Rattus norvegicus: one gene and its partners. The protein of the gene in region 3 purifies or fractionates together with the protein of the main gene of each other region. This does not show direct contact. Links are inferred from orthologs where the notes say so. Each region holds a gene or a part of one and is shown on either strand. Other genes may lie near its edges.

What was found.
Region 1: the proteins of Lgals3 (region 3) and Slc12a6 purify together in Homo sapiens (affinity purification with mass spectrometry; 3 studies listed by BioGRID and IntAct, counting the BioPlex papers as one, with this or other methods). This does not show direct contact. The link is inferred for Rattus norvegicus from reciprocal best matches to the Homo sapiens genes LGALS3 and SLC12A6.
Region 2: the proteins of Lgals3 (region 3) and Slc12a7 purify together in Homo sapiens (affinity purification with mass spectrometry; 3 studies listed by BioGRID and IntAct, counting the BioPlex papers as one, with this or other methods). This does not show direct contact. The link is inferred for Rattus norvegicus from reciprocal best matches to the Homo sapiens genes LGALS3 and SLC12A7.
Region 4: the proteins of Lgals3 (region 3) and Slc12a2 purify together in Homo sapiens (affinity purification with mass spectrometry; 3 studies listed by BioGRID and IntAct, counting the BioPlex papers as one, with this or other methods). This does not show direct contact. The link is inferred for Rattus norvegicus from reciprocal best matches to the Homo sapiens genes LGALS3 and SLC12A2.
Region 5: the proteins of Lgals3 (region 3) and Slc15a4 purify together in Homo sapiens (affinity purification with mass spectrometry; 3 studies listed by BioGRID and IntAct, counting the BioPlex papers as one, with this or other methods). This does not show direct contact. The link is inferred for Rattus norvegicus from reciprocal best matches to the Homo sapiens genes LGALS3 and SLC15A4.
Region 6: the proteins of Lgals3 (region 3) and Ece1 purify together in Homo sapiens (affinity purification with mass spectrometry; 3 studies listed by BioGRID and IntAct, counting the BioPlex papers as one, with this or other methods). This does not show direct contact. The link is inferred for Rattus norvegicus from reciprocal best matches to the Homo sapiens genes LGALS3 and ECE1.

What each region holds. Positions count from the first base shown.
Region 1 is NC_086021.1:119,599,612-119,603,111, forward strand, and holds part of Slc12a6 (solute carrier family 12 member 6), read left to right. Parts: coding exon 1-216; intron 217-2,872; coding exon 2,873-3,087; intron 3,088-3,500.
Region 2 is NC_086019.1:31,327,126-31,330,625, reverse strand, and holds part of Slc12a7 (solute carrier family 12 member 7), read left to right. Parts: intron 1-1,106; coding exon 1,107-1,253; intron 1,254-2,485; coding exon 2,486-2,540; intron 2,541-3,195; coding exon 3,196-3,326; intron 3,327-3,500. UniProt on the Homo sapiens protein: Mediates electroneutral potassium-chloride cotransport when activated by cell swelling. May mediate K(+) uptake into Deiters' cells in the cochlea and contribute to K(+) recycling in the inner ear.
Region 3 is NC_086033.1:23,103,043-23,106,542, forward strand, and holds part of Lgals3 (galectin-3), read left to right. Parts: intron 1-2,792; 5' UTR 2,793-2,796; coding exon 2,797-2,814; intron 2,815-3,272; coding exon 3,273-3,500. UniProt on the Homo sapiens protein: Galactose-specific lectin which binds IgE. May mediate with the alpha-3, beta-1 integrin the stimulation by CSPG4 of endothelial cells migration.
Region 4 is NC_086036.1:53,573,833-53,577,332, forward strand, and holds part of Slc12a2 (solute carrier family 12 member 2), read left to right. Parts: intron 1-1,885; coding exon 1,886-1,993; intron 1,994-3,115; coding exon 3,116-3,239; intron 3,240-3,500. UniProt on the Homo sapiens protein: Cation-chloride cotransporter which mediates the electroneutral transport of chloride, potassium and/or sodium ions across the membrane. Plays a vital role in the regulation of ionic balance and cell volume.
Region 5 is NC_086030.1:34,699,257-34,703,384, forward strand, and holds the start of Slc15a4 (solute carrier family 15 member 4), read left to right. Parts: upstream 1-1,328; 5' UTR 1,329-1,577; coding exon 1,578-1,631; intron 1,632-4,001; exon of another isoform or gene 4,002-4,122; coding exon of another isoform or gene 4,123-4,128. UniProt on the Homo sapiens protein: Proton-coupled amino-acid transporter that mediates the transmembrane transport of L-histidine and some di- and tripeptides from inside the lysosome to the cytosol, and plays a key role in innate immune response.
Region 6 is NC_086023.1:155,444,531-155,448,030, forward strand, and holds part of Ece1 (endothelin-converting enzyme 1), read left to right. Parts: intron 1-773; coding exon 774-884; intron 885-1,625; coding exon 1,626-1,724; intron 1,725-2,255; coding exon 2,256-2,333; intron 2,334-3,500. UniProt on the Homo sapiens protein: Converts big endothelin-1 to endothelin-1.

The DNA of each region.
Region 1 (3,500 bases), on a different chromosome or scaffold from region 3:
CTTTCGGAGCGATGATGCACTCAAGGAGTCAGCAGCCATGCTGAACAACATGCGTGTCTATGGTACAGCCTTCCTGGTCCTCATGGTCTTGGTGGTGTTCATCGGCGTACGCTATGTGAATAAGTTTGCCTCACTTTTCCTGGCCTGTGTAATTGTGTCGATCTTGGCTATCTATGCTGGTGCCATCAAGTCTTCCTTTGCTCCACCACACTTCCCGTACGTACCTCTCTTTGACATAATCGTCATTGGATAGTCAGTGAAGGTATCTGGTGATGTGAACATTTTCACCAAAATTTCATGGAGTGATTTCCTATTGGTCCAATTTCCCAGAAGGAAGCTTCCTGACATACTGTCCTATTGACCCTCTTCTTCACTTCTGAAATGTAGACCTAACAGCTGTATCCATTCTTAAGGTACACCTCTTTATGTATGCTGCTCCTTGCCCCCCAATAATGATTGTGTTTGTGTGAACTATCCATGAAGGACTTTGCAGTCATAGTCATTACCAGCAAATAATGTTCAGTCGCTTTTAAAATAAAAATCAATTCAAAAGAATTCTACAGTAGCAGTCTGGAAAGGGGACTCTGTAGTTAAAAGCAGTGGCTGATCTTCAGAGGACCTAGGTCCCTAACACCCACATGATGGCTCACAACTGTCTGTAACTCCAGTTCCAAGGGATCTAGTGCCCTCTTCAGGCCTTTACAGGCTTCAGGCGTACAGAACATTCAAGTAGGCAAAAACACCCATATACATAAACTAAATCTTTTTTTAAAGAGTTACCTAAATTATTTATTTACTTTATTCTTGGTACCGTAAGTGCTCAGAGTTATCAGGTATAAAGGGAAATGGCTGTCTTATCGCATGTATGTCCCCTGGACGTGCCATATCATACATAGTACAGTAGTGAAGTGATGAATTTGTGCAGACTTCCTTCACAGACTCACCTGTTGTCTCAAGGATTTGTGACACAGAGGCCAGTTGACACTGAGTATTTGTAATGTAATCTTATTACAGAAGTTGCCTTTGAACTCATGTGGATCAGCAGGGAATCAAAGTTATTGATATTATGCTGATTTAAAACAAGTTACAGGAAAAAAAAATACAAAAACATTTTTTTCATGATGAAGAAGCCAGATCAAGTGAAGATGAATGACTTTCCCCAAAGTCAGCTATTTCATGGGACTTTGTGATTTCCTGATTGCTATTTGGTATTTCTTCTATGTGATGTCAGTAATAAATCCCACCATAAATTTTCATTTTGCTTACTTAGGGCCATAAAATAAAGATCATTTTCAGAGTTATAAAAGTTTTAAAGATTTACTTATTATATATGAGTACACTGTAGCTGTCTTCAGACACACCAGAAGAGGGCATCAGATCTCACTACAGATGGTTGTGAGCCACCATGTGGTTGCTGAGATTTGAACTCAGGACCTCTGGAAGAGCTGTCAGTGCTCTTAACCACTGAGCCATCTCTCCAGCCCTGTAAAAGTTTTAGATGCAACTTTTTAAGCTGTATCTCAACTCGGAAAATTCCATTTGCTTCAGGTTCCTCTTTGGGGCTTCTCTATTTCTGTTTGGTTGAAGAAGAAATCCCAATACAAGCTATTTTGTTTTTTTAAATTCCAGCATAATATGTTAAAAAAAAAAACCAAAAACCTTAGATAAACCATGAAACAAAACTAGGATTGTTGAGTTGTTGAAGCCACGTGGCTAATTGTGTATGTATGAAATCACTCTGCAGATTTGGAATCGTGGTTTATTTTTTCTTTTTTTTGTTTTTTGTTTTTTTGTACCTCAGAAGTATTGTATTACAGGTCTATTACTCCATTCTTGTTTATGTTTCTAGGTAGTAGAAAAAAATAAAACTGCAGTTAATATTTGTATAATTCCTCTTTACCACTGGGTCTAGGTTTAAGGTCAAAAACAGTTTTCTCTTGGGCCATGGAGAGAGATGCTTTTAAGTCTAGTCAGACTGTCCTGTAGCAGTAATCAGAAGACTTGGACGAGCTGGCAGTCCCAGGAGGCTGTGACAAGCCTCTTCACATTTCATTCCCTACCTTCTTTCTTTCTCTTCCTCCTCCCCCTCTCTGCCTCTGCCTAGAAAGAAAACAAGCAAATGAAAATATGGGTATTTGGACATATTTTAAAAATAAGAGCAGAAGTTCTCTGGGATTTCATTGTTGCTGGCGGTGGTAATGGTGTGGGGGTAGGGCAGTGACAGTCCATATGTGTGTCTGTGTGGAAACCAAAACAAGGTTTCAGGTATCCTTTATCACTCTCTATATTGTACCATTTTTTGCACTGTTTAGCTGGACTGGCTAAATAGTCCAGCCTTTCTGTGTCTCCTCCTCCCCTGCCCCAATTTCCAGAGCTGAGATGACAGGCACGTATGACCACACCAGGCTTTGACCTGGGTGCTGGAGATCTGAGCTCAGGTTCTCATGCTTCCATAACAAGAACTCCATCTCCCTAACCTCTCCAGGATTCCTTTGGGCCTGAAAGTGAATGAATAGCCAAATATTTTTGGAAGATAATTGAGCATAGTTTCTTTGTACAGTTCTTGTGTTTGAATCATATCACCTATATCTGTCATTTGTATGACCTTGGTCTTGGGCAGAATACTGCATCCCTGTAACCCTCAGGGCCTCCAGCTACAAAAGATAAATGTTAAAATATTGTGAGATCTGTGAGGGTTACACTGGCAGAAAGTACAGGTCACCTCAATTTTAGGTCATCCTTGTCTACCCATGACAGTAAAATCTCTGGGCAATGACATTTTATCCTTGTTTTTTCATCTTTAAAACTTAGTTTTCTCTGTTCTTTTTTCCCTTCTTGATCTTTCTCTTCTTCTCTGTTTGCTTTGATTTAGGGTCTGTATGCTGGGCAACCGCACCCTGTCATCAAGACACCTTGACATTTGCTCTAAGACCAAGGAAGTTAACAACATGACAATACCATCAAAGTTATGGGGATTCTTCTGCAACTCAAGTCAGTTTTTTAATGCCACCTGTGATGAGTACTTTGTTCACAATAATGTCACCTCAATCCAGGGCATTCCAGGGTTGGCTAGTGGCATCATTACTGGTAAGTTAGAGAGTTTAACTAGATTGGTTTGTTTTGTGTTGTTTCTTCTTTAAGTACAGTAGTGGGACGTAGGCTTTCCCGCCTTAGGTCTTCACCCTCCCCCTATTTTTTTTACTTTGTATTATAGTATTAATTACGCATAACAATAAGTTTATTATATCTTATACATGCTTATTGTGTTATTTTAATCATACTTACTCATACTCATTATTCTCATTTGCATACACACTGAATCTCATTGGAACTGACTATAGGTTCATGGGTGGTGTGTTTATAGCAGCATGGGCACTTTACAGTGGCTACAAGACTGAGGAAAATGTCTCGCCCTCCCACATTAGGTGGTTGGTTATAAAGCCTCAGGATGGGTGGGGTCTTGTGAGCTCCCCTTCCTCAAAAGACATAATGATAGAGCC
Region 2 (3,500 bases), on a different chromosome or scaffold from region 3:
TTCATCTACCAGCTTACAGAATCCAAACCCATAAGGATTTTATTTTCTGACCCCACAATGCAGTGCCAGACCTCAAAGATAGGGAGGGCATGAGGTCAAGTCTTGGGCCTCCCTCTTGCTATATATATTTCTCCCTTCTGTGTGAACCTTGATGCTCACTGGCCTTGGGTGCAGGGATAAGGTCTCCAGGCTGTCAAACCCAGAGCTCTCCACACACTCTCCTTTTTTCCTGTGAAACCTTTGATGTCGAGTTGGTGGACGTTAAGCGGCCCTGCCCTGGGTGGCTCACAGTGGCAGGGTCCTGTGCAGGCCTGAGCTGCCATCCTGTTCTCTCAGGTTTAGGTGGTCAGTTTGTTCTCCTTGGACTCTGCCCTCTGGCCAGCTACAGCCATCCTGTACCATCCCTCAGCTGCTGGGCTCTCGCTGCCTGGTCTAGGTTGGATGACGTCCTTGGCCAGGCTTCTGTGCGAGCATTGCTCTGTGCCAGCCCTGTGGTCATCATCTACAGGCAATGTGCTCAAGCTAGTCCTCCATCTTGTTCTGTGTCCACCTAGACTGAGATGAGCCTCCCTGTTGGGGTCTGGCTTCTCAGCTCTTGTGTCCCCGAGTCTCTAGTCTGTTTCCTATTGTATGACAGTGAGACTTTTGAACTTTCAGGTAGTCTTACTGGTGTTTGGCCCCTTTCTGGCCTCCTTTCTTTCATGCCTCAAGCTACCTGGCACCAAGATTCAGGCCCCTAGCTGTCCCACATATAGAACAGGGACCCTACCTCACTGTTCCAAACTTCCCACTCTGATTCTTCTCCCCGGCAGGAAACCAGAGTCAGGCGGTTTGTTCCTGTGTCTGCCTAGGATGGTTTTCTCAACCTCCAGCACAATGCTCTAGACGCCAGGAGTCTGCTCTAGAGTCACAGAACCTCATCTTATTTAGGACGTAGATTTTTGTAGGCATCTTCCCTATCCTTGTATTTTCATTGTATGGCCACCATGTCCCTGCCCAGTTTTTCTTTTCCTGTGACCTCCAAACCAAAACATGGGGTAGGGCTCCAGGCTGAGTTACTGGGTGCGGGCTGTGAGCCTCCCCAGACATATGATACTCTGTTCCAGGCCCCACGCATGGGCACCTTCATCGGAGTCTACCTACCGTGCCTGCAGAACATCTTGGGTGTAATCCTTTTCCTGCGCCTGACCTGGATTGTGGGGGCGGCTGGCGTTCTGGAGTCCTTCCTCATCGTGGCCATGTGCTGCACCTGTGTGAGTGTTCATGTTTGCAGCTGGTCCTGGGGCAATTTCGCAGGAGCTGTGCTAGGGCCCGGGGAGGCTACTATTGGGAAATCCAGGTCTGCGTTTTTAGGTCCCTCTCTAGGAACCAGAGAGGCTCAGTCCTATAGAGGACTCAGGAGAGGTGGGCTGGCCCATCCGGTCTGGCAAAGCAGGTTTCCTGCTAGTCTGAAGATCTTATCTAGCTGTATCTATGTTGAGGGTTGCATTTCTCGTCAGGACAGGTGCCTCTTATTGGGGTATGATGAGACCCCCCTAGTTTGGAAGGATAATGGATATTTTCAGAGTTTCTTGAAGAGAAAGGGACACAGGTTTGAAACTTGTTCAAGTCCAGGCTTCCAGCATGTTTTCTAGTTCTACTGACATTTTTGTCATGCTGGTTTACCTTATCCTTGTTTACCAGCTGACTTTCTGTCCTTCCCCTTCCTCTGGTGAGGAAGAGTATACCTTTGTTTTACTTACCCACGTGTCACTGGGTCCTTTCTGTAGGGAAGTCAGATAATATGGTTGAATGGGAGTCTCCTTGACTCCTACCCCAGGCTACCTGACCACTTGTTCCCTGATAGCTCACACCTGTGTGTCTATCCCAGGCTACCTACTGTCCTTTGACTGGCCATTCTTGTGGCTACCTGCTTGCCTGTTCCATGACTGGTCAGTCTATGTTGTCCTTCCAATCCTCCAGCCCATGCTTCCCAACTGGTCACTTCATGTCTTTGCCACACCATGACCACCCTAGGGCATTCGCCTATATTTCCAGGCTGGTCATTCCACATGGTCACCCCAAGCTGTCTTCTGGTTTCCAGTGGATGCCATTCTTGGTACCACATTCCTGGTACCCTCAAATAAACTTACCTGAGCAGAGGGTGCTTGCTGGAGGTGAGGGGGATACAAGGTGTGGTGCCCTGTTCCCTGTTGCATGCACATCTAGATGAAGCGTCCTCTTGTGCTTCTTGGATTGGTAGAAAGGTCAGGCACTTAGATGAGGTTCAGCTTTCAGGTCTGTGGCGAACAGGGTCCGAAACCTGTGTCTTCTGTGACCTTTGGGAATGGGTTTGTGGGTTGGGTAGAAAAGGGTTGACAGGCAGGAGGCCTGTCTTCCCTGGTCATTAGTACCTCCTTTGAGGTCAGAAGCTTGCAGCCTCAGGCTGAGCGCGTCGGAGCATCTCAGGGCACGAGTTTCCTGAAAAAGCTGCCTCTCTTTGCAGACAATGCTGACAGCCATCTCCATGAGTGCCATCGCTACCAACGGTGTGGTCCCAGGTGAGGGTGCCAGCGCCTGTGGCCCTTGAGTTGGTTTATCGATCTCTTCACAGTACAGGGCAAGAGCTATTGCATGCAGATGCCATTCCCGCCCCAGGCTCATGTGATGACAGTGACATTAACTGTTTTCACCAGGGTGGCACTGGAGTATTGTGCTGCCCATGGAGAGAAGGGAGAGGCTCTCTCCCCAGAGGCTCTGGTGTAAACACACCCTCACTGCTTGCCTGTCTGTTACTACGAGGACAGACACCACATCCTTGAGTTGGACACAAACCTAAGTAGAATGCAGGTCCTTCTGAAGCGGTGGACTCTTATGTGCTAGCAGAGACACCCCCAAGCACTACTGCCTGTCCTCTGCATAAAGGAGTCCACAGGCCTGTGCCAGTGTCTCTCCTTCAACCGTCTGAGGGCACAGCAGGTTTTCTGAAGACAGGTGAGGCCTGTATCAGATGGTTCTCATCACACTTGAGCTAGCCTGTGACTGTGGACGGGGTAGACATGAATTCATAGCCCAAGGCTTTCTAGTGATTCTGCTTTGAGGGCAGACTAAAGCTGCTCGTCCCTTAATGGGGACACATCTTTTTTTTATAAGTGCTCAGTGTTCACAGTTAATGACACTCCCTGACCCATATTTTGCCTTGGGCTGTCTTCACAGCGGGAGGCTCATACTACATGATCTCCCGTTCGCTGGGGCCTGAGTTTGGAGGGGCTGTTGGCCTCTGCTTCTACTTGGGCACAACGTTCGCAGGCGCCATGTACATCCTGGGAACCATCGAGATCTTCCTGGTGAGTCCATCTGCGGAAGTCTTCCTTCCTTGCCCAGTCATTTTGCCTCAGACTGTCCTCTACCCTGCTGCTACGGACAGCTGGGCACTCAAAGCTGCTGTCTGTCTGGGCTGAGGGTCTGGGTCCCTGATGGGTGAGACCTCACAGTCTGTGCTGTCTCAGGAGGCATGGCTA
Region 3 (3,500 bases):
TTGGAAGATGGAGCCAGCCAGCCTTGATCAGAGGCTTTGCACAGTATCTCTTAGCGTTTCTAGATGTATCACTCTTTAAACAGAATTTGACTGGTGTTCTGTTAATAGAGCACCTTTTGAGGAGAATGGGAAAGTTCGATTGTTTGTTTGTTTTCCCATGTAGGCTCTTTTGAGTGACATATTATTTAACAGTGATTTGACCCTTCAGACCTAAGAGTTTAACTTGTAAATCTTCAAGTCTCTTAAAATTGAAGCAGGGGTTGGGGATTTAGCTCAGTGGTAGAGCGCTTGCCTAGGAAGCACAAGGCCCTGGGTTCGGTCCCCAGCTCCGAAAAAAAGAATCAAAACAAAACAAAACAAAACAAAACAAAACTGAAGCATATTGGTCCTCAGCTCCAAGAAAAAAACAAACAAACAAACAAACAAAAAACAAACTAAAACTGAAGCGTACTTAAGAGGGGAAAAGGGTTTCTTTATGGGGAAGTGCTCGTTGGTTAGTTTTTAGAGACAGTCTTGCTCTGTGGCCTAGGTTAACGGTAAAGTCAATCCTCCTGCCTCAGCCTAAGATAGAGGTGTGTGGCACCATGCCCAGCAGAGGATTGCTCTTGTTTGTCTGCTTGTGCAGCTTAGACAGGCTCCACATTTCTGCTCCTCTTACCTCAGCCCCCCCTAGACTTGAGGTGGCAGGTGGTGACCATCCTCCCTGGTAACCTTCGCTACTTTAAAATTCCTTGTTGGTTTTTATGGCCCCTTGTATGTAAGTTTATCTAGGGATAGACACTGACAGCCTGAATTGGTAGTCTTCAATTCAACCAGAGGTGATTTTTGGCCTTAGAGATTTTTCCCACCTTTGAAAACATTTTGGGTTGTCACAAGTTACAGGGCAGTGTGCCACCGGCATCTAACGGCTTGAAGCCAGAGATATTGCTGAAGGGGTGGGGAAAGGTTTAATCAGAAGTGCTAAGTTCTCTGTCCACTTTGAGCTTCAAAACCACTTCCTAACAGGATCTCACAATGTAGCGTTGGCTGGTCCGGAACTCGCTCTGTAAACCAGACTGGCCTCAAACTCACAGAAATCTGCCTGCCTCTGCCTTCTGGGTGCTGTGTACCACTATGCCCAGCCTAGGCTTTATTTTCTTAAGAAAAAATCTGAAGCCAGGAACTGCGGGTCCTGCCTTTGATGCCAGTCCCTGGGAGGCTGAGGAAGGGGGGTTGCTGTAAGTGATCAAGGCTGGAATGAGACCCTGGAGCTTGGTATGTGGTCCAGGCTGACCTCAAACTCTCAGGCTACAGAATGCTGCGCTCACAGGCATGATGGACACGGTGCTCACCTAATCATGTTATTTCTCGGGATAACTGAGTAAACTATCACAGATGGGCAAAATGAAGTCAGAAGAGAGTCTGATTATGTATTAGGTTCAGGTGATTCTCTTTCTTTTTTTTTTTTTTTCCCCCTTTTTTTCCCGGAGCTGGGGACCGAACCCAGGGCCTTGTGCTTGCTAGGCAAGCGCTCTACCACTGAGCTAAATCCCCAACCCCATGTTCAGGTGATTCTCATGGCAGCAAGATGGCTGCAGTCGTTCTGAGCTCTGATCGATCTCATTCCCGTCCAAAGCTGCCCTCCCTGTGGCTGCTTGCATTGTTTCGTGCCTTAGTGCTAGCCTTTGCCAAATATGCCAATTGCTGTTAATTTAATCGCCAGCGCCCTAAGAAAGGAACGTTTCCAAACCACAGCTGCTCTCTGCTGCATTCTGAGGGAATCTGCTGAAAAGGGGGGCAGGTTTCATGCATCCTGTGGTTTGATAGGTGTGGCACAGGAGCAAGAGCTGGAGGAAACAGGGTACGTCTGCAAACCAGCCCCGTGACCAATCCGTGTAAGGCAAACCTGTTTGGCAGTATCTTGAAGGCAGCTGCCTCAGGCCGCCTGACTGGCCTTTGCTTGGCTGTTTTACTGCTGTTTTATTTGTTGTTGGAAACAAACAAACAAACAACAGCAAAAACCCACAGGCACCACAGCCAACACTTGAGGTGCTGAGGCAGGAGGATCCTAAGTTCAAAGTCAGGATGAACTACATAGAAAGACCTTAATACTTACAATACTTCGAAATCCAACCAAACACTCCCAAATGCCGCCTGTCCACCACCAACGCCCTTCCCAGCTCACAAGTGAGTTCTCAGGTTTGAATGTCCCAGCAGCACCGACCACACTCTGGTGTGCATGCGTCTCATATCTCTCACTGGCCTGGGGGCCCTGGGGGCCCTGGGATGGTGTGGAAAGCGATGGCTCAGAGCAGGCGTCAGGGTGCACCAAGCGAGGGTAACTAACCAGGCAGCAGCCATATCAGCTGTCTTAGAGATCTCGGTAGGAACCGACAGATGGATTTCCTCCAATCTGTGGCTGGGAAGAGAGGAGGGAGGGTTGTACTTCCCATGTATCCTTGCAAGGGTAGAAAAACTCAGGGAAGCAGGGAGCCAAGAGAATTTACCGTCTTTCACCGAGAGGAGAGACAGGAAATTCTCAACCTACCCCTTAGCCCTCAAGGCCTTTTACTCTCAGAGCACAAGCTCCTGGCGTCAAGGTCTGACTTCAGAACCTGAGTGGGTTTGGAATTTAGCTAGACTGTATCCCGCCTGTCCGCAAGATGTTTTTATGATCCAGCGCCATTGATCTAGGTGAAATGATTGTAGACTGACCAGAATTGCCCATGAACTATTTATGTTTAATCTCGTGAGATTTTGTAAAATGTTTTAGGCTCAAGTACTAATAACCCCCTTTGGCTTTTCTCTCTTAGGAAAATGGCAGACGGCTTCTCAGTAAGTATTTCATGTGTGTTCTCTTAGCCGAGCTTTCCCTTTGACCCTCCTACTGTGAAACTCCCTCTGGCTCTCGTGTGCATTCAGGCCTGTTAGCAGCAGGCTTGCTTTCCCAGCAGCAGATTACAGGGAGAGGTGTGGCCTGCACAGCGGAGATGTCCCTCCTGGAAGCAGCGAGACGGTGACTTGGTGCGCTCATGCCAACACCTGCAGCTGTCTCTCGTGTTGACTAGAAAGCGTGTGTTTATAGCCAGCCAGTTCCTGGTGTAAACCAGAAGAGCTTAACCCACCCCGACCCACGAAGATGAGAGACCAGAATAAAATACAACACAAAACAGCAGAAAAGGCGAGGGAAGAATATGAATCTTTTTCCTGTACTCTCAGCTTCTTAGATCACAAGTGCCTGGAGTCCCGTGGTGAAGGAGTCCCATCCTCTAATTGTTTGTCTTTCTTTACAGCTTAATGATGCCTTAGCTGGCTCTGGAAACCCAAACCCTCAAGGATGGCCTGGTGCATGGGGGAACCAGCCTGGGGCAGGAGGCTACCCAGGGGCCTCCTATCCTGGGGCCTACCCAGGACAGGCTCCTCCAGGGGGTTATCCTGGACAGGCTCCTCCTAGTGCCTATCCGGGCCCAACTGGCCCTAGTGCTTATCCTGGCCCAACTGCCCCTGGAGCTTATCCTGGC
Region 4 (3,500 bases), on a different chromosome or scaffold from region 3:
GTGTGTGTGTGTGTGTGTGTGTATGTGTGAATGTATGTATATATATATAGTAAGTCTTGAAGTCAGATTAACTTCTTCCAAAATAGTTCTAGCAATTTTAGCTTCTTAGTAATTAGTAGTACCTTTATTGTTTATGTATAAATAAACTATTAAGATATACTGATCAATAGAGCTGGGCATGTAGCTTGTTGGGAGGTGCTTGTCTAGCCTTCACAAAGCCCTGGTCTCAGTCCTTAGCACCACACAAACTGGGTGAAATGTCACATGCTTGTAATCCCAGCGTTTGGGAAGTAGAATGGGTCATTGTCATTGTGGTGAAGATCTGGGTGGCACGCAGGCAGGCATGTTGCTAGAGAAGTAGCTGAGAGATTTAATTCCTGATCTTCAGGTAGCAGGCAGAGAGAGACAGACACTGGGCCTAGGGTAGACTTTTGAAACCTAAAAGCCCACCCCAACAACTCATGGCTTCCAACAAGGACACACTTCCTAATCCTTCCAAACATTCTGTAAGTCAAAGCTCCTAACACCTGAGCTCTTACACTTCTGTCTGTCCTGGACTTGGTCCTGTGTTTACGCACGTTTCGGCAGTCAGGCTAGCGTTCCTTACTTCCGTTCAGCGCTTCATTTGGACAGCTGTCTTGCCTGTCATCTTTGCTGCTGTATGTGGTGGACAACAGTGATGGAGCCCCTATTTTCAGTCAGTGTCACTACGTCCTTTCTACTCCTATTCACCATTAAATTTTAGAAGTGCTGAGGGAAAACATAAACTGGAAAGTCAGAAGTCCTACTTGACTTTTCCTACAGTATTTTCTGATACTAAGCATAGGATACTGATGTGTTTGTGCAAAGGACAGTGCTTCTGAGAATTGAGCCTGAAGTTTTCATGTCTAACTCTTGAGTGTGGGAGGAGTGCACATGCATGTGCAGAAATGTTTGGGCACAATGCACAGGGGAAGCAATATACTGCATGTACATGTAACCTTCGTCACTTATCAGGGTGTGACTAATTGTCTTTTGCTTGTAACTTCCTGTATCCCAGGTATTTAGAAGCAGAATAGAATTTGTATCATAATCTTTTTGGCTTGGCATTTTTACCTTTAACTGTTATGTACTTAAAAAACTTCATACCTACATTACTTTTACAGCCCGTACAAATAAACCCTCTTGATGTATGAGTACACTTTCATAAGAGCTTACCTCAGTCTGACTTACTGGCTAGATCTAACCATCAGTGTTCTAGAACCTAGATGAGAGAAATGAGTTACATAATAGAGAGATAGAGTCAGCACATCACAGGATATAGGATAGGAGCTCCAGAGTGTGGCAGGAAAAACAATTAGAAAAATTCAACAGTATGACCATATATTACAAATATTGAAAACCACATTACCCAAATAACAGCAGACATTTTTGAGAGCTGTTTAAAACAAACAAACCTGTCTTGAAATGACCAAGAAAATGGGGTAGTTGGGGTAGTTTGATTGCTGACAACATAGGGATACTGTGAAGAAAAGTTCAGATAACTAAGCTGACTAATGGCTGTAGTTAGACTTTTCAAAAAGTCTTCGCCTCTTAAGAGATACAGACTGATCCTTCATGCATTAAAAAGCCAGGAGTCTTTGGAACGTGGTGTGGGATTGGCCCACGTTGTGTTTGGTTGAGACCTGGTGTTGTGTAGTTGGTAGTTCGTTACCCACAGTTTCCGTCATTTGTGCATTTGAAAATTTATGAGGAAAGGGTTTTTAAGTCAGAGACCTATTTTAATAATTTGTAATTTACTTCTCATTGCTATTACCAGATTCCTATCAGATTATTTCTAGTATTAGTTTTCTTTATTAGAAACCTCAAGTTGTGAGTATTTACTCTGTTCTGTCATTTATTCAAGGTGATGAGCATGGTGTCAGGATTTGCACCCCTGATCTCTGCGGGTATCTTTTCAGCCACACTCTCATCAGCACTGGCATCTCTTGTGAGTGCTCCCAAAATATTTCAGGTAAATATTTTCATATTATTGTTATTGAAGATGTTAAAATAATATTTCAAATTCAGATAAATTACCTTATCAATCTCATGTGTTTGTTTGCATATACATATATCAAGATTGGTGTAAATTTTATTTACATAAATGCTGTGTAGATCCCTAAAAACATTTGTGCATTTTCCTACTGTCAAGGTACAGCCTTGAAATGTCTTTAGGAAGGATGATTGGAGGGTCTGGAGAGATGGCTCAGCAGTACAGGTTCACACAGAGAATCCAGATTCAGTTTCCAGTATGTGCACTGGGTGTACATAATCAGCTGTAACTCCAGACACATAGATAATTGAAAATGATAAAATAAATATTTTAGGGATTAAAAATATTTTAGGGATTAGGTGGGTTTTGTTTTTGGCATACTTAGCATTAAAGTTTAGGATGGTTGTCAAGTTAGGAGTGCAGCGTAAGACTCTAAATCAGAACTGTAAATAGTGGTTTCAGTTAACATGATGCCAACTTGACTATCTTATGTGGCTCATAGTGCAGCGACTGTAGTAGAGGCCGTGATAGCTAGGATGAGTGTTGCTTCCTATGGTGGTCATTAAGCATCTGACAGTGATAAGTGTTGACTTTCTAGCCTTGCTCTTAATACTGTATTTGTAGCAAGAAGTATAGCAGTGTTGTCTAATAGGACTTTTAAGACAATATCTGTTAGGATTGGGAGAAAAGTAGTTCAACTTTATACTTCGGGTTTTTAATCATTTTCATTTCAGATTTGGAGTTGGTTTTCTTAAAGCCTTAGGTACACTGTATCATAATGCCAACTTTTAGGGTTTTTCATTGTACTTTGTTTGAATGACTGCTTCTCCGATTCTTCATAAATAGAGTTTTAACATGGGATGGAGCAAGACAAACAAAATCTTTAGCAGTGTTAGGAACCATCTAGCCTTCAGCTGTCTGAACTGTTCACTTGTCCTTTATAGTCTGTCGGTGCAGCACCGAGAGACAGGAAACATAGTATCGGAAAGGAGAGACTTGGACTTCATTCTTGGTTAACATACTTTAACTGTTTGCAGATTTGCACATCGTAAGTTTTATGTGTTTTGTTTTAATGTTTGTATTTTTTTTCCCTTGGGTTAGGCTCTATGTAAGGACAATATCTACCCAGCTTTCCAGATGTTTGCGAAAGGTTATGGAAAAAATAATGAACCTCTTCGTGGTTACATCTTAACATTCTTAATTGCACTTGGATTCATCTTAATTGGTTAGTTCTATGAATGGTATATTATGTAGGTTTTGGTATGTTTTGATATAGTGTTATCTGTAATCATGAATATTAAGTTATTAATGTATATTAATTAGTTTCTAATCAAAGTAAAATATTGCAAATAGTAGTACCTGATATTACTTATTAAACTTAATTCCATTGTGCAAAATTAGGGTAAAAGGAATATTATATTCTTTCTTTTTTTGTCCCTATTCTTTCTTTCCTGCCTCCCCCCCACCCCTTTTTTTTAAGATTCAC
Region 5 (4,128 bases), on a different chromosome or scaffold from region 3:
CTGACGCGCGACTCGGCCGGGCGCGCGCCATCCTGCTCAGCCTGGCGCTCTACCTGCTGGGCATGCTGGCCTTCCCGCTGCTGGCCGCGCCCCGCTCGCGCTCTTTTCTCTGCGGGGATCCGCACCCGGAGCTGGTGCGCAACTGCTCGGCTCCCTTCCCTAACGGAACGGCGGTCTGTCCCGATGCTGCCGCGCGCCGCTGTGCTCCCGCCACCTTCGCGGGTCTAGTGCTCGTGGGACTCGGTGTGGCCACGGTCAAGGCCAACATCACACCCTTTGGAGCGGATCAGGTGAGCCGGACCCGCCCAGGTCCTCCCCGTTTTGTGTCTGCACCTCCTGCGCACCACACCTACCCGAACCTAAGCCATGACTTTGCTGCGTGTCCGCCGCGCACGGACACGGGGACTGTCCCGGTACCCTGCATACCTGCACCTGTCCCTACGGTTCTCTACTGATGGAAAGGACCCATCCCAAACACCCAAACCTCCATCCCCGCTTGACTGCACCTCACATCACTTCACATGTAGAGAAGGGTTAAGGCGAGGGAGAGGAGCCCCCAGGTCAGGTAGTGCAGAGAAGGCGGCCACTTGCCTAGGTTCTCTCCTCGTTAGTGGAGGTGAGGAAGGAGACCTATTCTGTAGTGACTTAAAGAGTGGGGAGGAAACCCATCTGCCCCAGCACCTGAGTGGGTAGGAGGAAGAGCAAGGCTTCCTCTAATCCATGTGAGGAGGAAGCTCATGAGTAGAGCCCATTCCACACCTGGCACTTGGTTCATGACTTAGTAAGGAGTGCACCTCCAACTCTACGCGCACCCCTGTCCACATCTGCTTTTGCATCTGGTAGGGGACTGTAAGAGAGGGGAGAACCACACCCACCCAGTGCTCTCGGGGAGGGGTGAAGGGGTGTGTGTGTGTGTGTGTGTGTGTGTGTGTGTGTAAGTCCTCGAATAGACTGGAGAGAGCTGTACAAGCAGGTGTGATTTGGGTGGTAAGGAAGGGCTGTGCCTTCACTGTGGTGGGATTTATTCGTAATGAAATGGCCATTGTGGTTATACGAAGAAGGGACGTTCTGTTGGTGGAGTCCTTTGAGTTGAAAGCTGCAAGAGAAAAGGTTGACGTTGTGATTTGGAGGATAGGCTGGTACAAAGGCTCTGTCCCTGCCCTAGCTTCCCTTTTACAGTTACGGGCAAGCACTTAGTTTCCATTTTCATTGCTTTAAGTAAGGGGTGGGGTGGGGTGGGTGGATGGGAAAGACCAGCATCATGCGGCTGCTCTGACATCCAGGAACAAGAGATGCGGAGGGAGGCAACACTTTAGAGAGCAGAAGTGATCTGCCAAGTGTCTGGGAGCCACATCTGTTCTGCTTCCCTTTTTTAGGGGACTCCCATGCTAAGAATGGTTCTAGTGGTCAAATGCAAATGAGTATTTTGTAAGCAGTGGAAATTAAGTGGGGTTTGAGCGCCAGGCTCTCTGGATAAAGCTTTTTAAGGTCCTGCTTACTCATTCCCTGCCCCTGCTTCCCATGCAGTTGTGAAACTGAGTGATCGCAGAGGCTAGATAACTCCTAAAACCTAACACATGCTGTCCTGTTTCAGAGATTGCAAGCAGCCGTCAGTGTGTACTGTGTGGCAGGTGGGTGAGAGCACAGCCTGGGCTGCCGCTGGGCTGAGGAGAGAGGTGTGGCCTAGAGTGGAGGCATGTGGGAAGGAGGCTGAAGGGGGAGGGCTGGAGGGTTATTTGTGAGCAGCAGGGAAGGTGAGCCCTGGGTCTCAGTACAAAACTGATCCTTGAGTGACTGAAGTTGAAGTAAGCGGAGTGAAGTCATCTGCTCAGAGTAGCACCGTGAATGTAGGACTGGCCAGTGTTTATATGGTGCCTGTAAGGCTGGCCATTTCAGGGAGGATACATCTCAACTGTATCAGAGGTATTTAAAAAGAGTTTGAGGCAGGAAGGTTGCCACCCGTATTATGAGCTACAGAGCAAGACTGGGGGTCATACAAGTAAAATGTAAAGGAAAGTAGTTGCTACCTGAGAGTTCTGGAGTTCTGAAAGGTGTTCCTCACACTTCCAAGTCCAGACTCCTGGCCTTTGCCTCTGTTCCAATAGTGCCGTATGATGCCACAGGCCAAAAGCACATTAGCTGTGTCCTTTAAGCCTAGGTGTGGTGGTTTGCATGAAATGGCCCTCATAAGCCTCATATATTTGGATAGTTGGCCCGTAGTTGGTGACTGGAGGAAGTATGGGGTGGGCATTTTATTTGAGAGTGGAACTGCTGCTCTAGTCAGCAGTCTGCCCTGCCATAATGGACTGGAACTATGAGCCCAAGTAAACTCACCCTTCCTCAAGTTGCCCTGGTCTCATAGTGTTTATCACAGCAATGGGAAAGTAAGAGACACACTGGGCCATACTACATAAGGTGTACATGCTACATAAGGTGTACAAGCTACATAAGTACATACTACATAAGGTATACATGCTACATAAGGTGTGGACTGTGCCTCATATTTGAGTGGCTTGAGCTTCATGATGTATACTGGGCTCCTTAGACTTCTGAGAACTTATCTAACTGAGTAGATCGCTAAACAAGTATTAACTGATATCAACCAAGTCAGATTTATTTTAAAACAGTTCTTTTTACCACTTATTAAAGATGAAATCTAATTTGTGTAGTAATAAGGTGCATGTTTATATAACTTGATAACAATCCAGACATAGTGACTTCATCTTTGAAAGCTCAAGTGTGATGTCTGGTAGGGAACTATTCTAAGTCTTGGCTCTTTGGAATTAAGTCCTTATGCTTCAGTAAGAACAGAAAAACATTCTCTGTGCAGTGGAAACAGTGCAGCTCATAGCATGGTCGCATCAGATGAAGCCAGGGTGTGCCAGGCAGCATTTGTTGGCATCATGAAGCGTGTCAGTATGTGGTACTTGCATAGACTCAGGACTGTCCATTGCACATTTGATTCTGAATTAAGTTTTGGTCCTTGTGCACTCAGAAGCCTGTCACTGTTGGCAAGTTTTACACACATACAGTTGGAGAAGCTCTGGTTGTAGTGTGCATGGGTGACTGTTAAGAGCCCAGCTGCTCAGCAGGTGCTGAGGGAACAGACGAGATGCTGTGTGCTCTCCAACAGATGCTAGATCATTTGCACTGTGAGGGTCCCTGAGAGGGTGCAGTGTGCACACTTCATCATAGGTAAGAGCAGGTGCTCTTGCACAGCCTAAGTGCTATTGTTTCAGGTGTCTCCGCACATCTTCCTGGGATGAGACCCTTCTGGGTGCCAGGACCTGAGAGAAACTTGACAGCCACTTTGGGTGTGGTCAGTGACTTGCTCTGTAGAGGTTTTGTTTTCTGTTTATGAGGTTTTGTTTTGTTAATATTTTTGAGACGGGGTCTCAGTGTAGCTCAGGCCAGCCTCTAATTCTTCACTAGTTGAAGATGACTTTGAACTCCTGATACTTCTGCCCAAGTCCTGTCTATCCCCCATCGTCCTTGGTCATTTTGTTTATTTTGACCCGGGTTTTTCCTGTGTAGCCCATGCTGTCTCCAAACTCACTAAGTAGCCCAGTCACTTCTTCCAACCTGTAATAGCCTCTGACTTCTGCATTGAGAAGTGTGTGCCACCAGGCCTGGCCTCCAGTGTTTTTTTGGTGTAGTTTGGTTTTTGAGTTCTGTTCTTGCTCTGTAAACCAGCCGGCCTGGAATTCCATGCATAGCCAAGCTGGTATCAGACTTATTGTGATCCTACTGCTTCTGCTTCTGGAGTGCTGGAAGTTTGGGTGTGTGTAGCCCACCCATTTGTCTCTTTTAAAGTCCTTGTTTTGGTTGCTTGGGATATTTGTACTATGGCCTTGACATCAGATGTGGGGTGATGTTCTGAGGTGTGGTAGTGCCTTTGTGACATCATTGAAAAGTGGTGGTATTTTTAGGAGATTCTCAGTGAGGGGGTGGGGAGAAGGAGGGAGGGAGAATGAAAATGAGTGTGTGTGTAAGTTTAAACTCCCTCATTTTACACATTTATTTGTTTAGCTGGACTGGAACTTTGCTATACAGATCAGTTTGACCTGGACCTCACAGAGATTTACCTGCCTCTGCCTCTGCTTCTTTTATACATTTTTGTGTATGTGT
Region 6 (3,500 bases), on a different chromosome or scaffold from region 3:
GTGTGTGTGTGTATGTGTGTGTGTGTTAGCATATCATGTAGCCCAGGCTGGTCTTGAACTCATAGTGTACCTGAAAAGGATGATCTTGAACTCCTGGTCCTTCTGCCTCTACTTTTCCAATGCTGGGATCACAAGTGTGCATTACCATGCCCAATTGTGTGTGTCTGTGTGTCTGTCTGTGTCTGTGTCTGTGTCTAACTCTTACTCGGTAGCTCTGATTAGCTATGAACATACTATGTGGACCGGGCTGACCTTGAACACACAAAGATCTGTCTGCCTCTGTCTGCAGAGAGCTGGGACTAATAGCGTGAGCCACCGTACCCAGCCCCATACCTAGCGTTTTATGATGCTGGGACATGAATCCAGGGCCCCTTGCATCCCACACTCTAACTGAGCTACATCCCAGACCTTTTGGTACCAGGCTGAAGAGAGAAAGGGGGTCTTACTTTGTAGCCCAGGCTAGTCTCAAACCTCGTCACCAACTCAAGGCCACCATGCCTATCTTTTTTCCCCCTTCAGTACTGGTGACAGAATCACAGCCTCCTACATGCCAGGCAAGCATTCTGTCACTGAGCTATGTCCCTAGCCCTGAGTCTTCTCAGCTCAGTACCTAAAGTAGCCTCCACTGGGCCAGAAAATGTATCTCCAAGGCTCCAGAAGAAAGCACAAGCGCCTGGTGGCACCGTTCTCGGGTGGAAAGGGGCTGGGAGAAGGAAGCTGTTCCCACAAACAGCCATGTGTGTGTCCCACTGGCAGCCATGTGTGTTTTCCAGACCTGTCTTCCCCGCTGGAAGTTTTGCGTGAGTGACACAGAAAACAACCTGGGCTTTGCCCTGGGCCCCATGTTTGTGAAAGCAACCTTTGCGGAGGACAGCAAGAACATAGTAAGTGCCTCTCTGTGTTCAGGGTGCTGGGGATTGAACCCAGGGCCCCACACGTACTAAGGCCCCAGCCCCAGCCCTCGCTGTGGTCACTAACAGTACTGACTGCGTAGAGCTTATGTCAGTCTGTGGTTAACACAGAGTCCAGCGGGAGTCAAGGGCTCGCCCCCTTCGGTCTGTCACCTCGGCTGCTGTGGAGGGCCTCCCCCCTCTTCTCCAGAATCTTCAACCTGTCTCCGACCTCCAGGTCCGGCCATGATGTAGTTACCTTTCCAGAGCTCCTGTTTGTTTCCGTAGCAACCGCAACCTTTTGGAAACTGTCCCTAGATTTCAAACCTCATTCCATTCAGAATGATTTCTGTGCTCTGGTCAGTCTGGGAATGGCCGAGGATTTTAGCCATCACGGAAGGGCTCACAGTGCACCTGCCCATGTGAGAGGCTCTGAAAAGTCCAGCAACAGAGACTGCGTCAACTTCCTGAAAGTCTGCCTCATCTCACTTGACCCCAGTCCTGTTAGCGGGAGGCCAGCCTTGGCTCGAAGGATCCTATAAGGAGAGGATGGGTAGGAAACATGGATCCTCCCTGACCCAGTCCTGAGTTTAGCCTTTGGCCGGCGGTGTCCTTTAAGCACAGCGCTCCCAGTGATGCAATGTCCTTAGTTAGGCACAGGGCTCCCGGTGATGCAATGTCCTTAGTTGGTGATGCCAGAGCCCAGCCCTCACTGGCGTGGCATCTGTCCCTCAGGCCAGCGAGATCATCCTGGAGATCAAGAAGGCATTCGAGGAGAGCCTGAGCACCCTGAAATGGATGGATGAAGATACTCGGAGGTCAGCCAAGGAGAAGGTGAGGCTACCTGGCAGTTCAGATGTGTGTGGATGCCATTGTGCCCTGTGATTCTAGTGGGACTCAGGACATCCTGAAGGCCCCCGTGGCATAGAGTCAGGGATATCCCATAGCAGAAGGGAAAGGACAAGGGGGGTGCCCACCCTGGAAGGGACTAGGCCAACCCTTTCGTAAGAGCCAGCTCCTGTGTTAAGTAACCCTCGGTCCCTCTCATTCCTGCAACCGTGGCTGTCCTTCATGAGGACCAAGGAAGGCTGTGTGACTCGCTCACCTTCCAGAACCGTTCAGCTCAGAATCAGTTACAATGTGTAAACTTTGGGTGACACATCCAAACCATGATGCTCTCTCGAGGGAAATGACATTTCACAGAATTTACCAGACTCCTTCCAGGAAAAAGATATAGAATCCTTAAGGGGGCAGGAGGCTAGCCCTGCCTCTCCTTGGCACGGACCCTGAGCTGGATCCCACAGAGCTGGGGCAGGCTTGGCTAGCACCATTTGACCCTGTTTTACTCCAATCCCTCCTGTCCAGGCGGACGCCATCTACAACATGATAGGCTACCCCAACTTCATCATGGACCCCAAGGAGCTGGACAAAGTGTTCAATGACGTAAGTGGCTTCCGTCTACCCCTCAAACTCCCTGAAGCCCATGTGAGGCAAGGCCACGGTGGTGGCCATCAACCTATACCAATGTGATGTAGGGCGGGGTTTAGGGATACGGGGCATGAGGAAAGTTTCCCCTGTTCCTTTGTGGTCCTGGGTCAGTGGGGGTCCCTGTCTCCCCAGAGCCACCATCAGCCATTGCTCTGTGGTTATTTCTGGAACACAAGCTCTGGGCCTCACTAGGAATGGCGGCTCCAGGGAGGGAGTGGGAACGGCTAGGGCAGGGTGCCTCCGTGGCACAGCATGTGCTTAGAGTGTGTGAGGCCGTAGGTTCCATCCCCAACAGCATGGGGCAGGAAAAAGGAGGGGAGAACAACCGGACATGCCAATATGTGTCTAACCCTAGGACTCCACAAGCTGGGGCAGGAGGAACAGGGTTCAAGGCCATCTTTGGCTACTTGGCAAGTTCAAGGTCACCCTGGACTATAAGGTAGACCCTATCTCAGACAGACAGACAGACGGACGGGTCCAGAGCGCGTACTGCTCTTACGGGAGTTGGGTTCTCAGCACCCGCCTTGGGCAGTTCCTGACCTCCTACAACTCAAGCTCCAGTAGATACGACTCCTTCTGGCCACCCCGTCACACACGAGTGTACAGTAAGCATGCATGCATGTGCATGTGTGTACACATACATTTATTAAGTTTATTACTTCAAAGAAAGTGTTTCTTCAAAGGCACAGTGAGAATCAGCAACCCTAAAGCCTCGAGTAAGCAAAGTGAGCCCCTTACCTGCTGCTGCTGCTGCTGCTCCCAGGCGTCCTCCTGCCCCTGAGCTCCTCTCTTCCCTCCTCAGAGAATGCCTAGACCTTTAGCTTTGACCTTGAAATGCTAATGGGAAAGAGGAAGCACACTTCCAAAGCCTGGCATCAAGGGGTAATGGAGGAGCTCCTGCCGCCTGGAACGCTAATCAGCTGCCTTGAGTGACTGCAGTTCTGAGCCACAAGATTAGGTCTTCCAAGTTCTCCATTGAAGATTGTCATTTGGGGCACTTTTGACGTTACAGTAGCCTCACCTCCGGGCTATATTTAAAACCCGAATCTATTAAAATTACCTCAGAGGCTGTCAGACTCTGTCTGCAGCTCCAATTCCTTGAGAATCATTTAAAGTGTTCTC